Linked DNA regions of Arabidopsis thaliana. The protein of the gene in region 1 interacts with the protein of each later gene in a pairwise test. Each region holds a gene or a part of one and is shown in the gene's direction. Other genes may lie near its edges.

Region 1 (7,423 bases):
ATAATACTTGTTTAGGTTTTTGCGTTCTCCCATAACTTCAGAGCATACAAAGAAGAAGAATCAAACGTTTACCAAAAAAAGAAGAGAAGCGAATCTAACTTCTCTCTTGATATATCTCTATTGCTCTGTCTCTTCTTCTCTCTTGTATTTTTTGTTTGGATGATCCTTAAAAGTTATGAGACATTCTCTTTATATAGCCGAAGATGAAGTTGCTATGTTTCTTCTTTTTTTTGCTTGGCCGACTTATAGAAAAAGGCAAAACAAATAACACGTTTATTTTGTAATTTTCAACTTTTATTTATACATAACGACTTAACGTAAAGTTTTATGCTTTCATCCAGCAAAGAATTACAATATGTTTATCTATAGATCTCACACGAGGCCCAAATTTATAAATTGATGAGTAAACACATAAACTATTTAACAAAATTAGTATTATACTCATAAAAATAATGTTATAATATACATCAATATATATATATATATATATATATATATATATATATATATTTAAATTAAGATAAGAAAAATGTAAATACTTTAAACTAAGAAATTATAAGATATCATGATCGTCTAGATTTTCATTATTTACATAATTTTGATATAGTCGATCACATCGATTTTTCAATACGCTCCAACAAACTCATAGATAGTAACACATGTGAGATTAAGTCCCATGTATAGATAACAACAATCACAATATGTATATTCTTTGTTTTAGTATAGAACATAGGTAATGACAATGTTTTACACTAAGATAGAATATACATATTGTTAGTGTAGCTTTTACCAATGACAACAACACAAGGCGGCTAATAAAAAGCAGCACAATGCGTACATTCAGCTAGGATGGCTCAAAGTCAATGAGAAATGTCAAATATATACGACCCAGGAAAGTAACACTCCAGTACTTCACGATATGTAACAGAAAGATGGAAAAATGATTTTTCACAAATATATCCAAGCTTTATATGCCTAGGCAAAAAACCCGAATCTAAAGAACTGAATCGAATCCGATCCGAAAAACGTGATCCAAACTCGAATCCGAAATTTTAGAATACCCAAACGGATTTTAAACTTCAAAACCCGAAACCGATTTGAATCTAAATCCGATCAAGTATCCAAATATATCCAAAATATATATACCTAGAAATGACTAATTAGTAATAATTACATATACAACAACTTAAGTGCATAAACATTAAACATTTAGATTTTAAAATATTTTATATATTTTTGGATACTTTACCTATTTTCGATAGATTTGGATAAAAAATACTAACGTTTTTTTTAGAAATTTTGTGTATTTTCAAGTAATTTGAATATATTTTGATATAAATCTTAAATTTTGGATATTCCGGATAAACTTGAATTCAAACCCGAAAAACTTGGTCTGAACCCGATCCAAACCCGATCTAAACCCGAAATCTTTCAATACCCGAACAGATCTTAGAATTCTAAATCTAAAATATCCAAACCCAAATATCTTGATCTGAATCCGATTCGAATATCAGACCGCCCAGGCTTACTTTGTAATACAATTATCAAAAATAAGTTTGACCGACCAGCATGGTAAAAGTCTTGCGGTTGCGGTCAAATAACAAGTGTAGGGAAGAGGATGTCTATACTCGCTCTATCTGGACAAGAGACAGACGATGATCAAAGTGTAGAACTTGGAAGTTCCAAGTAAAATGAACATATCTTCTTAAAAGTCTCTTACATCCTCATGATGATGTTCGTTGGTTTTAGCTCCTAAAGAGTTAAACGAAGCTTTGAATTAAAACACGATTAAAAGATGTGAAACAAAACAAAAAAAAACACAAAAAAAAACCAAACACAACAACATTTTTAGTTGTTGTTGTTAATTAATTCCTCTGTTTGGTTTTTTAGTTAAATTTCTCTTACCTTTTGATTAACAATTTTGCTTTGATTTTAGTGTTACAAAGATAAACACTGTAGAGTATTATTATTATTATAGCTTCTTAAAAGAAAAGATTCATCAATTTGTTTATTGTTGTTCTTCAGATTTTTTCTAAATTTTAATCTTTTGTGTTTGTGATCTTTTGTGATGGGCCTCTTCTCTCTGTTTAGGTTTCTCTTTTTCCAATAAAATTCGTCTTCTTCTTTTCTGGGTACCGTCGATTTCTTCCTACGAGTTCGAAATTAGGGTTTTTTTCTTCTTCTTAGGGCTGATTTTGAGGTCGAGTAGTGGGTTCTTAACGAACTTATTCGTTGAATTTCTTTAGGGTTTTCTTTGTGGTCTAGTTTCATAGAGAGATTAGAAGTTTGGTTATGCTATTGAACGATGTTTCATGGACAAGGGTTTTCGAGAAACCGTTGTAATGTTGTGGCAGTTGTTTCTGGAGCAGAGCTTTGCGATACTAATAACCAGATAGATGGAACTTCTCATCAACCCAAATACCCTTTTCCAGATCTCTCTTCTTCAGGGCGTCTCAAGGTAAAAACACTTTTCTAATTCTCGTAATTGATTTGCTAGATTGTTGGTTGAAAGTTGGAACCTTTAGTAAGTTTAGACAATGTTGAACTAAGTTTGGGAATTGTTAGCTGGTGAGAGTTGTTGCTATAGGTTGTGTTGCTTGAGGCCTTTAGAAATTGGTAGACTTGATGGGAGAATCTTGGTTCTAAGTGATTTCTTAATGGAGATGTTAAAGCATTTGGTGTATGCTTTTTTCATGTTGTAGTTTCAGGTACTGAATAATCCTACGCCGGAGGAGTTCCAGGTTGCTGTTAACTCTTCAGCAACGGATTTTGTGTACTTGCAAGGGGAACATAGTGGAGATAGTGATGAAGTTGGTCCCTTAGTGTTGGGATATACTGATTTTTCTACTCCTGATGCCTTGGTTACTCTGTTTGGTTCCACATTACCGACAACGGTAGGTGCATCATTCGTTGTTTTACGTTTCTCGTTTTTAGTTAAGGATTTCCTTTTACGTTGATGCCTCATGCCACTAAGATTTTCTTAATAAATCGCTGTTAGTCTCTTGACAATGTGCTTAAAAGGCTCCATAGAGTATCCTCTACATGAATGTTAAAACATTTTCCATACCTAGTGAGATATTAATATGTTTTGGCATCATATTGTTTTCACAGGTTTACCTTGAGCTCCCAAATGGTGAAGAATTAGCTCAAGCACTCTACTCTAAGGTACACCACTCTTGATAAGCACCTTTCACTTTTCTTCTTATTACCTCTTTGTTGCTCTATTTCACCTAATGGTGATTTTCTTTTGCAGGGTGTTCAATATGTTATTTATTGGAAAAATGTTTTCTCGAAATATGCAGCCTGCCATTTTCGCCATTCTCTGTTTTCAGTCATACAGAGGTAATTGTTTACTCGAGCATCTGACATAGCGACAAGCCTTAATTTTAGTCTGATTTACATCTATATTTTATATAGTTTTTTCCCCTAGTCTACAAATTTATTTGACAGTGATATGCTCTTTGGCAATGCAGTTCGTGCAGCGATACATGGGATGTGTTCCATGTTGCAGAAGCATCTTTCCGACTCTATTGTACAAGTGACAATGCTGTCCTTCCTTCTAACAGCAACCGTAAAATGAATTATGAGATGGGACCTTGCTTGCTTGGAGAACCTCCAAAGATTGATGTGGTTTCACCGGAAGCTGATGAACTAGAAGAGGAAAATTCATTAGAGAGCCTCCCATCAATAAAGATATATGATGAAGATGTTACTGTGAGGTTTCTTTTGTGTGGACCACCATGCACAGTGGTGGGTGTTGTTGACCTTCTCGCGCATTTTATGATACTGGCTTGTTTGTGCAGATGTTAGTATTTCTTTATGCTATCTTCAGTTACAAAGCTTTTTCTCTATTTCAGGATACATTTTTACTGGGATCTTTGATGGATGGACTTAATGCTCTCTTGCGAATAGAAGTGAGTAGTTGGTAGTTTACAGTTTTGATATTTCTTCATTAGTGCGCATACTAAAATGTATGGATGGACTTAATTGTATATGTCTTCTTTTAGTCCTTTTAAAAGAACGTTATTTTTTTATATTGTTCCAGATGCGAGGAAGTAAGCTCCATAACCGTTCTAGGTATGTAATTTCTATAGCCAAATGATATGTTGCGCATCCCTCGAATAACCTTAAGATTAATCATCTATGGTTTTGTGCCTTTTGACTTAGTTTTAAGACGTACTTGGTTACTTTTCATTTTTTTGCTGATCAAAATTGAAACTGCAGTGCTCCAGCACCTCCTCTTCAAGCAGGAACATTTACTCGTGGTGTAGTGACCATGCGTTGTGATGTCTCGACCTGTTCTTCAGCACACATATCAATGCTTGTGTCTGGAAATGCGCAGACCTGTTTCAGTGATCAGGCAAGGGATTATATCTTTTGAAATATAGCTTATCTCTGCATACATGTGCAATGGGATTTATTATTAATCTCCTATGTAAATATCAGCTTTTGGAAAATCACATAAAACATGAGGTCGTTGAGAAGATCCAACTAGTCCATTCAGTGGTGAACTCAGAAGAAACAAAGCGGGGTTTCTCTGAGCCTCGTAGATCTGCCTCAATAGCTTGTGGAGCAAGTGTGTGTGAAGTTTCGATGCAAGTCCCAACATGGGCTCTGCAGGTTAATAATCTCTTTCTTTCCTCGACTTATATTTGTTGTAGATAGTAATCTTTAGCCCAATTATTTATCTCATGCACCTTGTTTCCAAGTTTCTCAACAATTTAGTCAGCCAAAGTAGTCACAAGAGTTTCAGATGAAAAGTTTGTTATGAAATTGTAACGGGTAGAAATAAAGGCTTTTCATGTTTCTTAACGTTTAACTCAAGCTTTGGGATGTCCAAGGACCATTTTTCGTGCTTTATTGCTTTCACTCTTTATTCATGATACTTGTGCATTTTAAGTGATTACATCCAGATAGTCATGTGATTTACATTCTCTTTGGGTTCTCAGGATTTTTTGCGTTTCATGAGTTTCCACTTGCTAATGCGTGACTAAGAAAAGGTTATTTTGCTTTCGACAGGTTTTAAGACAGTTGGCGCCGGATGTGTCATACCGCAGTTTAGTCGTTCTTGGAGTAGCTAGCATTCAGGGGTTGTCTGTTGCTTCCTTTGAGAAAGATGATGCAGAACGTTTACTTTTCTTCTGCGGACAACAGATCAATGATACTTCAAATCATGATGCTCTTTTATCCAAAATTCCTAACTGGTTAACACCTCCTTTGCCAACCAGAAAAAGATCCGAGCCATGCAGAGAAAGTAAGGTACTGTTTCGGATATCGCAGGTTGAAACTTTCTCTCTATACAAAATGTTAATTTGGAATTATTCTTTGTTCATGAGCTAGACTCTATGATTTCAACTCTAATCAGGGATAAGTTTTGTGGCCATACTTCTGCCAAATGTTCATCAGTCTTCATGTATATACTGATTGGATGCTGTGACAATATTTATATTCAGGAAATTGAAAACGGAGGACCTACATCAAGGAAAATCAACGTGGCTGCTTTGAGACCAATACCTCACACCCGTCGACATAAGATGATACCTTTCTCTGGTTACTCTGAAATTGGAAGATTTGATGGTGACCACACCAAAGGAAGCTTGCCTATGCCTCCAAAGCATGGTGCATCAGGTGGCACTCCAGTAACTCACCGTAAAGCTTTCTCTGGTTCGTACCAGAGAAAGCAAATCATCTCACTAAACCCTCTACCTTTAAAAAAACACGACTGTGGAAGAGCGCATATTCAAGTTTGCTCAGAGGTTTGCATTGTTTTTCTTGTGATGAATAGTTTGAACTTATAAACTCCTCTTAACATTGCTATCTCTATATATGTAGGAGGAGTTTCTGAGGGATGTAATGCAGTTTCTGCTAATACGAGGACATACCCGGCTAGTTCCTCCAGGGGGACTAGCGGAGTTTCCAGATGCTGTTCTCAACTCAAAACGGCTTGATCTCTTCAACTTGTATAGAGAGGTAGTTAAGCAATGATTTGATTTTGTTCAACCAAGGCAGCCAGCATTACATTTGGTGAGCTAATAATGAGAGTTGTTGCAGGTTGTATCACGGGGAGGGTTCCATGTAGGTAATGGGATCAACTGGAAGGGACAAGTTTTCTCAAAGATGCGCAACCACACACTCACAAACAGAATGACTGTAAATGATTTTGTTTTCTTGTCTCACCACTTGATTTATTCTTGAAAAATCAGAGAATGTATATCTGATCATCAGCTCTGGGGTTATTATGGCAGGGTGTGGGTAATACCCTGAAAAGACACTATGAGACGTATCTATTGGAGTATGAGTATGCTCATGATGATGTAGATGGAGAGTGCTGTTTAATATGTCGCAGGTACATTAAGAACCCTCTCTCTCTCTTGTGTACACGGTTAATAACGCCTTGTTTGTTAACGCGCTTTGGTTTGGTTTGGTTGAAACAGTAGCACAGCTGGTGACTGGGTGAACTGTGGATCATGTGGAGAGTGGGCTCATTTCGGATGTGACAGAAGGCCTGGCCTCGGCGCCTTCAAGGTAACTAAACGAACACATCGTAAACTCGTAATAAGCATCAATGAATAATATGTGTACTGATGCAACATATGATATATACAGGACTATGCAAAAACAGATGGGTTGGAATATGTGTGCCCAAATTGTAGTGTCTCAAATTACAGGAAGAAGTCTCAGAAGACCTCCAACGGTGGCTTGCTTGTACCTTAGCTTTGTACCTTAGGTTCATGTTTCTTCTTTTGTTGTACTTTTGCCTTGGAACCAAATGATTGATTGATTCCTCTAATGTTTCACGAGTTTTTTTGCAATGCAAGGTTTTTTTTCTTTCCATTATCTTTATAATGAATCGGAGAATGTAAAAATAGTGAACGTTATAGATTTTGCATCATATTTAAGGGACTTGCCAATATCATTTTATCTGTAACAAATGAATAGACATGCAAATAGAACCAAGCTTTGATAAACAAGCTTCAAAAAGGTAAACAAGCTTTGATAAAATAAGTAAATCCCAAATCGTTCACACAGTTTGGGGAAGCAACTGTTTGGTTCTAGAGAGAAACAATTTATGTACATTTACACTTTAATAGAAACGAATTTGAGAAGCGTATATATACAAAGCGTAGTTTGTAATGTGAATGGAGATTACGGGCGCAAACGAGCATAGAGCTCTCGGAGGGCGGTGTACAACGGTTCAGCTGCCTTGGGTTGATCCACCATCCCAAGTAGAATGTCCGATGTGGATAGGTATGGATCACCATAGAACTTTACATTCATGTCCCTTCTTGTTGCCACCAGATTTCCTTCTAGAGATACTCCCACAAATGCCCCTGTTCACACAACACAACAACTTCTCTCAGGTTATAGATTTACATTTCAACTTCCTCTGTATTATTGAGCTACGAGTCTGGCCAAATTATAG
Region 2 (3,681 bases), 7.2 Mb from region 1:
TCATCTCCTTCATTGTCTCCATCCATTTTCCCATTCCCCACTACATTTTTATAGTTATCTCTTCAATGTTTAAAATAATATGTCAAAACAACTCTTTATCAAAACTAAATTTTCGTTACTTCTGGTAGTAAGGATATTTCTAAACGTTATCACATTAGTTATTAATCAAACCTGTGAAAGACATGCTAGGTTACTGAAGAATGATATTAGATACTTGTGTACACTCTATTCTACAACGATCGAAGCTAGTCCCACTTCTGTGTCTCTTTCTTTTTCTGTAAGTGTGATTGCAAAATGCGAAATATTCATGTAAGCACAAGAAACAAGATAGTTATACATTCGCATCACTTTGTATTAATAAATTGTTGAGCCAATTTTGTTCTCTATTTCCTTGTTTTGGTCATGTTGAAATTCAACTCTATGATTGATTACACATTCCGGAGAATATTATTTTATTTTCTTTGAACAAGAAAACATAAAAAAAAAAAAAAACTCAACGGGATACTAAATGATCCAACTCACAAATTTCAACAAAATTAAGAAAAAAAATCGGAAAACCTTTTTAGGAGATGGCAGAAGAATTTAATTAACAAAAGGGAGAGAGGCTTATTGAAAAAAATAAAATTAGTAACCTTGCATTTATTTAATTTCCCCTTCATTACTTGTTTAAATTAATAAAACTATAGACTATGATCTATAATGAGTTTATTGCAAATAAGGCATTTGTCTTAGATATATATTTTATTTTAGGCACTTTTGAAATGATCTTTAGATTTAGGCACTTCTTTCCTGGGGAAAGTCGTTTTTACCCTTACAGAGAGATGATGTTGTTCTTTCTTTGTTGATGAACTTTTACGTTTTACACTAGAAATCAAAAATACTTGCGACCAACACCAACAACTTTGGAGTCATTGATTACAGAGTGATGTCAGCGACGATTGGAAATTCAGACGACTAACAATCGGTCCTCATGAGATGTGAATGCGATCTAGATTTTTAACATCCCACATTTTGAGATCTGGAAAAAAAAAACAAGAAACAAAAAAGTCCCACGATTTAGTATTACGATTTGCACGTTTTTTTGTTCAGTGATTTTTGTGCAGGTTAAGGAATTCAAGAAGTGATTGATACTTTGTTGATTGCTCAATTGATGTTCATAATCATGTCTACAAGTACATTGATTTTTGTTCATGTTAATGGTGTTTGATGATAATGAGGATGGTTGTAGTGTTGTGTTATTGTGTGTATGTAAGAATTGCATACTCTATATTTGACGGTTTGGGTTTACAAGTCTAATTCTAGGGTATAGCGTTTACCATTGACGCCGTTCGTTACCCCTCGTTGTCAAAGCCGTGAACCACCACCAAATCTTTGTGCTATCGTCAAAGCTTCATGCCTACCGTCGAAGCTGCAAGTCCACTATCTAAGCCATATATCTTTGGATGTCAAAAGAAACTTAAAATTGAATCAGAGATGGGGATACAATTTTTAGAAGATAAACACATTCTTTTCACCTCATTCTCAACTCCAGTTCATAGTTTAAGGGCAAAAATGTCCGTAACAATAAAAATTGAAGTATTATATGCTTTTACTGTTTAGAGTGTCTGTTTTGAAAGAAATGTTTTCAAAATGCTTGTTTAGAATATAAGCTCGATCTATAATATATGCGTTTTTAAAAAAAGACTAGTATATGCATTATGTAATTCATGGTTAATTAATCCTCTGGTAAGTAAATTAAATAGCACATGCATGTTCAAAGAAAAATGTAGACAAATATATTAAAGTGGATAAATAAATAGAAAAAAAGGGAGTGGTCAGGTCAGTCTCGGTGCATGCTAACTCTATGCACGTTCTCATCTTCGTCTCTTTCCTCACTTACACTAATTCTCTCTCTCTATATTAAACCTCTGAACCAGTGACCACATACATACTCAGTAAGCGAGTCCGAGTCAACAATGGACGTCTACGGCATGTCTTCACCGGACTTGCTTCGTATCGACGACCTTCTCGATTTCTCCAACGACGAAATCTTCTCTTCCTCTTCCACCGTCACTTCCTCCGCCGCTTCCTCCGCCGCTTCTTCCGAAAACCCTTTCAGCTTTCCTTCTTCCACCTACACTTCTCCTACTCTCCTCACCGACTTCACTCACGATCTCTGCGTTCCCGTACGTTTTCAAATTTCAATTTACCCTAATTTTGATTTTGATTTTGAATTTCTAAGTTCTGATTTTGAGTTTTGCAGAGTGACGACGCAGCTCATCTCGAATGGTTATCGCGATTCGTTGACGATTCATTCTCCGATTTCCCAGCAAATCCTTTAACCATGACCGTTAGACCCGAGATTTCATTCACCGGAAAACCTAGAAGTCGCCGATCAAGAGCACCAGCACCTTCCGTAGCTGGAACTTGGGCTCCGATGTCTGAATCAGAGCTTTGTCACTCCGTCGCTAAACCTAAACCGAAGAAAGTCTACAACGCTGAATCGGTTACGGCGGATGGAGCGAGGCGGTGCACGCACTGTGCCTCGGAGAAAACGCCACAGTGGAGAACTGGACCGCTTGGACCTAAAACACTTTGTAACGCTTGTGGAGTTCGTTACAAATCAGGGAGGCTTGTACCGGAATACAGACCGGCGTCGAGTCCGACGTTTGTATTGACTCAGCATTCGAACTCTCATCGGAAAGTTATGGAGCTCCGGCGACAGAAGGAACAACAAGAATCTTGCGTTCGAATTCCGCCGTTTCAGCCGCAGTAAATTTGGGGGTTTTCTTTTCAAGGGTTTTTGTGATTTGGTGACGTGTCGTAATCTTAACGGTGATGATCACGTGACCGACGGGAGGGGTTAAGGACTTAATTATCAGTATTAGTTTAAAGTTTGCAAATCTCTGCTAATTAATTTGTTGGTAATTTCTATTGATTTTTTTCTTGCTTTTGTTTATTGGTCTCACGGCTCTCCTTAAAGTTATATCATTAAATGATTTCATTGGCGGCATTTAATTTTCCTCTTTTCAGATATAAAAGCTTCTCAACCACCATGGACTCTGCTTTTTGTGACTTATGATGTTATATCACACATGACAATGCTGGTTAATCTTCATACATACATCATACATGTTACATGCTTGAGAATTTGAGTTTTTGGCATTTCACGAGGCAATTCAGTTTACTACTTTCTTAAAAAATAGTAACCTAAGCCATACCAAACCTAACTCTCTCTGGTTTAGGCTATTCAAATCTAACAATTTTTCGCTTTATTCCATCTGAACCAAAAATTACCAATACTCTTATACAAAGTGCTTAAACCTCTTATAAATAAACTAAACTGGTTAGGCGGTAACACCGAAACAGAACAAACAAATGATCTGAAAATTGAACCATAATGTGGTGTATAGTGTCACCGTTATTCAAATCCAGAACCCCGACAGACCGAATCCTAATAGAAACCAAAGCAAGGTCTTAACATTAAGATATCGAACCAGAAATACCATACAAAACTAATCTAATTTGGTTAATTTTCCGCTTAAACTATCAACTAAACCAAGCCAAGAAAAAAGAGGATCAAATATATGTATAAAGAAAGACAAAAATTCAAATATCAAGAAACTGCAAAAATGTTGAGGTCAATTGAGACTACTCAAGAAAACAACAACAAAACTCAAAACATGAATGAAACTACTATAC
Region 3 (4,701 bases), on another chromosome or scaffold:
ATGCCTGAGGATAAAGTCCAACTTCTTGTGAAAACCAACTGGGAGCCAGTGCAGCCACTCATTTAGTCCTCCTTTAGGCCTTGTCACTCGCTTGCATAAAGAAAAAGAGATAATCTCAGCTAACCAAAAATCATGTTAAATGTAAATTTACGTGAATGTCGAGTCTATGAATGATCAAGAAGCTAGAGAAACCAGACACAGCAAAACAGCCTTATATGCATCCAAACTGATCTAAAAGAAGCATTAAAGACTCCACTACCAGTGTTCCTTGTAAACGAAATTCAGTAATTGCACCAGCATCATGCTCCACCAATGATTCAATTCTCTTTAAGATTTACCAAAAAAAATTATAAATAAAACTGACAATATAGGTAGTTATGACACCCCAAGAACCTTCCACTGTTTACCCTAAATTTGCAGAACTTGAGATATTGGCAAATTTACATATTTACCAATTCATTGTTTCCATAAAAATTCAAATAGTTCCTCCTTCTCTGAACATTCATACACTCTAAAGAAGTACTAAACAATATGAAATTTCCACTCCTACTTAGACTGAGACCTAACAAGCTAAAAACCTAGAACACACGACGAAACAACAAAGTAAAAGAAACTCCTATCCAAAAGCAATCATCAATCTCTCAACTACATCATGCGCCTAGCAAAAACTGACGAGAATTTCGAGTATAGTATCAATGGTTTATAGTCGACGAAATGAAAGCACTAAGCAGATGCTAAAAACGTCTAGAGCCTAGATCAAAGAAACTCACGTAGAGAAGGTGATTATCAGATAAGCCGAGCGCACGAACGAGACCGATACACTGATTCTCGGAGCCAGGGAAACCGTTTCCGATGACGACGGCGCGTCTGACGACGTTATGGGAACCGCCTTGTTCGAAAATATCAGGGACGCCGGTAGATAGACTGGGTGGATCCGGCAATAGGATTGGCCTCATGCCGGTTAGATTATCGATTCCGATTCCGATCAAAAACCCTAGAGGAACCACACCGAGATTTGGGGGGATTGATCTCAACTCCGTAGAGAGAAGGTCGTGGTGCTTTGACAAGTTGCGAAAGGTCACAGAAAGAGAGATTGTTTTCCTTTTCTCCTTCAAGAGATTGTCTTTACGCTAAAATTTGGTATAACAATTAACAAAGGACAAATTTAAGGTCTTAAACGAATTTTTTGCTAATCAATAAAACTAATTTTGTCAATACAAAACATACAATTGTTTAAAAAAAAAGAAATTGTATGGTATTTTAAAAATTTTGATTTTAGAATTTGAAGTTTTGGAATTTTGTTTTGTTATATGATGATTAAAATTAAAATTTCACCGATAGTCATCCAAAATTAGAATAAAACACTATTTGTCACATAATTGCTGTTTTTCTAATTGTCTATTCAAATCTTATGAACCTCTTCGTAGGCCCAATATGTAGAATTTGATTGTTAAAAGGTGAAGCCTTATCTGGAAAAAGCCCAACTGTTATTGTTCTTCCTGTGCCTCGTTTTGTCTCGGTCTAACTTTTTTACACACGACTTTACCAATCATAGTATTCAAAGAAATCTAGCGATCTCAAGACTCCGAGTGTCACGATAGAGAATATGAAATTGCAGAAATGATTCAATATAATTATATATCTTAGCTGTTGTTAACACGTTAGATGTTGAGTTTAGGAAATTAATTTATTGGGTATTTTCATACTATTATATTCATAGGTAGCTATAACGATGATAAGATAATTTAATGTGTGCAGGTTGTAAACAGTTAGGAATATGAAATAATTCAACTATATATTATAATCATCTCGTGGAAAACAGGATCGATTGCACATGATTCATTGGAGACAAGAATCGTTAAGGTGTTCACACATTACGTGTCTTTGTTATATTGGGGTTACAAAGATGCATTCATATGATGTAGTATTATCTTGAGATCTCCAGAAAACAAACCGCATTTGAATCACAAAATGGATCTACCACCCAAAATACTACCAACTCACAAATATCCTTTGACCATTTCGACTCGTTTTGTTAATGATTCTTGTAAAGGTTGCAATATAAAAGGTCCCATCTATGGCGGCTACCGTTGCAACGAGCCTTCCTCTACTAGTTTGTTCTTCCACAAAGAGTGCGCAGAGGCTCCACCGGAGATTATCAACCATCCTTCTCATCCTCAACACACTCTTAAACTCCACAATTCTCTAAGGAACCCATGTAAATGTAATCTATGTGGCAAGACTTTTTTCGCTTTTGGTTATCGTTGTTCATCAAAATGTGACTTCATCGTGGATCTCACTTGTGGGATAAATCCATTGCCGGTTTCTATCGAACATCCAAAGTCTCATCATCATCCAGTTATCTTCTTGAAAGAACCCGCAAAGCCGGGTAGGCGCAGATGCGGAATTTGCAAGGGCTATAATGGTGGATGTTCTTATGCATGTCTTGAATGTGAAGTCCACTTTCATGTCGAGTGTGTCAATCTTTCCCAAGAGGTGAATCATCCTTCTCATCCTCAACATTCTCTCAAGTTACTTGAATATGAATCACTAACAAGTGATGCTGAAGAGACATGTCTTTTATGTGGAGAACGACCAGACAAAGTGCTTTATCGCTGCTCGATATGCAACTTCAGCGTATGTCGATTCTGTACAAAAGATCCACCACCACTTGCTATCGAGCATCATAAGACGCACGAGCATCGACTTGTCCTCTTATCAAGACTCATCTCATTTGAATGTAATGCTTGTGGGATGCAAGGTGATCGAAGTCCTTACATGTGTGTTCAATGCGGGTTTGTTGTCCATAGAACTTGTATTGACTTACCACGTGTCATAAACATCAACCGTCACGATCATCGCATCTCTTTCACCCATCATCTCGGTGTTGGGTACTCGAGATGCGGTATTTGTCGCAAAGATATAAGTCAATACCATGGGGCTTATTTATGCCCTCGTTGCCCGAACTATGCAGCTCATTCACTATGTGCAACAAGAAAAGACGTATGGGATGGGGTAGAACTCGAAGGGACACCAGATGATGATGACGAAGATATTGTGCCGTTCAAAGTGGTGGGTGATAACTTGATCAAGCATTTCAGTCATGAAGAACATAATCTAAGACTCAACAAGGACAATATCAATCGTGACGAAGGCTCACGTTGTGAAGCATGCGTCCTTCCTATCTATTCCGATCCGATCTACAACTGTGAGGAATGTCGTTTCATTCTCCATGAGAAATGCGCTAATCATCCAAAAAAGAAACGACATGTATTCCACACAAAACCATTCACACTATGGTCCAGACCACCTCGTACATTCCATAGCAAAGATTTTAGATTCTACGATGTCTTTCGCTGCTATGCTTGTAGAACGAAGTCTACTGGTTTCAGGTACGTTTCTGATTGGTGGGTTCTAGATGTACGTTGTGGTTCGCGTTCTGAACCGGTCATTCATGATGGTCACAGACATCCTCTATATTACGAACATAAGAAAGATCACTGTTGTGATGCATGTTATAAAGAGATAGATGGTTATCTGCTTTCCTGTGACACTTGTGACTTTGATCTGGATTTACACTGTACTGATTTACCAAAAACGGTAAAGCACAGCTGCGACAATCATCCTCTTTCCCTATGCTATGGCGAAAATGCAACCGGAAAATATTGGTGTGATATTTGCGAGGCGGAAACAGATCCAAGTAAGTGGTTCTACACTTGCTCTAAATGTGTGGTTACTGCACATATTGAATGTGTGCTTGGAGACTTTTCACGTCTCATGCCAGGACGCATCATCAACTACAATAATGTTAGAGTTGAAGTGGTTCTTAACAGCTATAGTTCTCGCCCCTTCTGTGCAAAATGTCACTCCAGATGCAGAGCTCCTATCATTCTAAAGCTTTGTGATCCATATACTGGATACATTTGTTCCGATGCATGTGTAGTGCCCGACTATCAATACAGCTAAGACAACTATGTAGCTGTTTATTTCACTCTATTGTTTCTCGTAATTTTTTGGATGTAAGAGTTTATTTCCAACTACAAGTGCTAAGCATTCTGGTTATATTCATACTGTGTTCATCAGTACAGGCAGGATTAAACTGTATCGATGACATATATAAAGTCGTAACAAGTTATGACAAACTTGCTAAAAAGGTAGTAGCAACTAATATGATTTAGTTAATGAAAACATAGACAGAAATGATGGAAACAGATATTTGTGAATCAGAAATGTTATTAAACAAAGATGAAAACTGAAGTAATTTTAACAACAAAAATAACGAATATGTGATGTACATTGCAAATGCAAAAATTATAAAGACACAGCGGATAAAGTTTTGGAAATACAGAGAACAAACTCACTCACGTGACTAAATCTAAAAGACAAGGCAAGAGTTCAATGAACCTCTGTATCATTTTGATTTTGACATTTACAAGAGTTACATAAGCAAGGAGGACCATGACATGTAACTTCAAACTCACAGTCATTTTCATGACAAAACCAAGGCTTCAAATCGAAATGATGCGACTGAGTTGATTTACAAAAACAGTGGTCCGTTTCAGTATACCTTAGATAAGGCCGCCAGATTTTAAGATCTGCATGATGGTAAAGTGATTCCTCCGCAGAAAGATGCGATTATTATGTACAGCAAGAAAACTATCAAGCATGTCAACAAGACCCTGCCGAACACAAACAAGAAAA

The links. The genes of interacting proteins can lie anywhere in the genome.
Region 2: the proteins of AT3G43240 (region 1) and GATA4 interact in a two-hybrid assay, tested with the Arabidopsis thaliana proteins (one large-scale study listed by BioGRID).
Region 3: the proteins of AT3G43240 (region 1) and AT5G22355 interact in a two-hybrid assay, tested with the Arabidopsis thaliana proteins (one large-scale study listed by BioGRID).

What each region holds. Positions count from the first base shown.
Region 1 is NC_003074.8:15,209,323-15,216,745, reverse strand, and holds AT3G43240 (ARID/BRIGHT DNA-binding domain-containing protein), read left to right. Parts: upstream 1-1,798; 5' UTR 1,799-2,305; coding exon 2,306-2,458; intron 2,459-2,702; coding exon 2,703-2,894; intron 2,895-3,111; coding exon 3,112-3,165; intron 3,166-3,253; coding exon 3,254-3,342; intron 3,343-3,473; coding exon 3,474-3,750; intron 3,751-3,857; coding exon 3,858-3,914; intron 3,915-4,045; coding exon 4,046-4,077; intron 4,078-4,224; coding exon 4,225-4,360; intron 4,361-4,446; coding exon 4,447-4,620; intron 4,621-5,019; coding exon 5,020-5,259; intron 5,260-5,453; coding exon 5,454-5,756; intron 5,757-5,832; coding exon 5,833-5,970; intron 5,971-6,051; coding exon 6,052-6,150; intron 6,151-6,245; coding exon 6,246-6,346; intron 6,347-6,434; coding exon 6,435-6,525; intron 6,526-6,606; coding exon 6,607-6,714; 3' UTR 6,715-6,915; downstream 6,916-7,423. Other genes in the region: AT3G43250 (coiled-coil protein (DUF572)), read right to left, coding at 1-33; AT3G43230 (RING/FYVE/PHD-type zinc finger family protein), read right to left, coding at 7,147-7,331.
Region 2 is NC_003074.8:22,371,393-22,375,073, forward strand, and holds GATA4 (GATA transcription factor 4), read left to right. Parts: upstream 1-1,620; 5' UTR 1,621-1,955; coding exon 1,956-2,165; intron 2,166-2,242; coding exon 2,243-2,755; 3' UTR 2,756-3,162; downstream 3,163-3,681. UniProt on the Arabidopsis thaliana protein: Transcriptional activator that specifically binds 5'-GATA-3' or 5'-GAT-3' motifs within gene promoters. May be involved in the regulation of some light-responsive genes.
Region 3 is NC_003076.8:7,399,791-7,404,491, forward strand, and holds AT5G22355 (Cysteine/Histidine-rich C1 domain family protein), read left to right. Parts: upstream 1-1,916; 5' UTR 1,917-1,971; coding exon 1,972-3,966; 3' UTR 3,967-4,182; downstream 4,183-4,701. Other genes in the region: ELM1 (fission ELM1-like protein (DUF1022)), read right to left, coding at 1-90, 771-956; VAMP714 (vesicle-associated membrane protein 714), read right to left, coding at 4,589-4,679.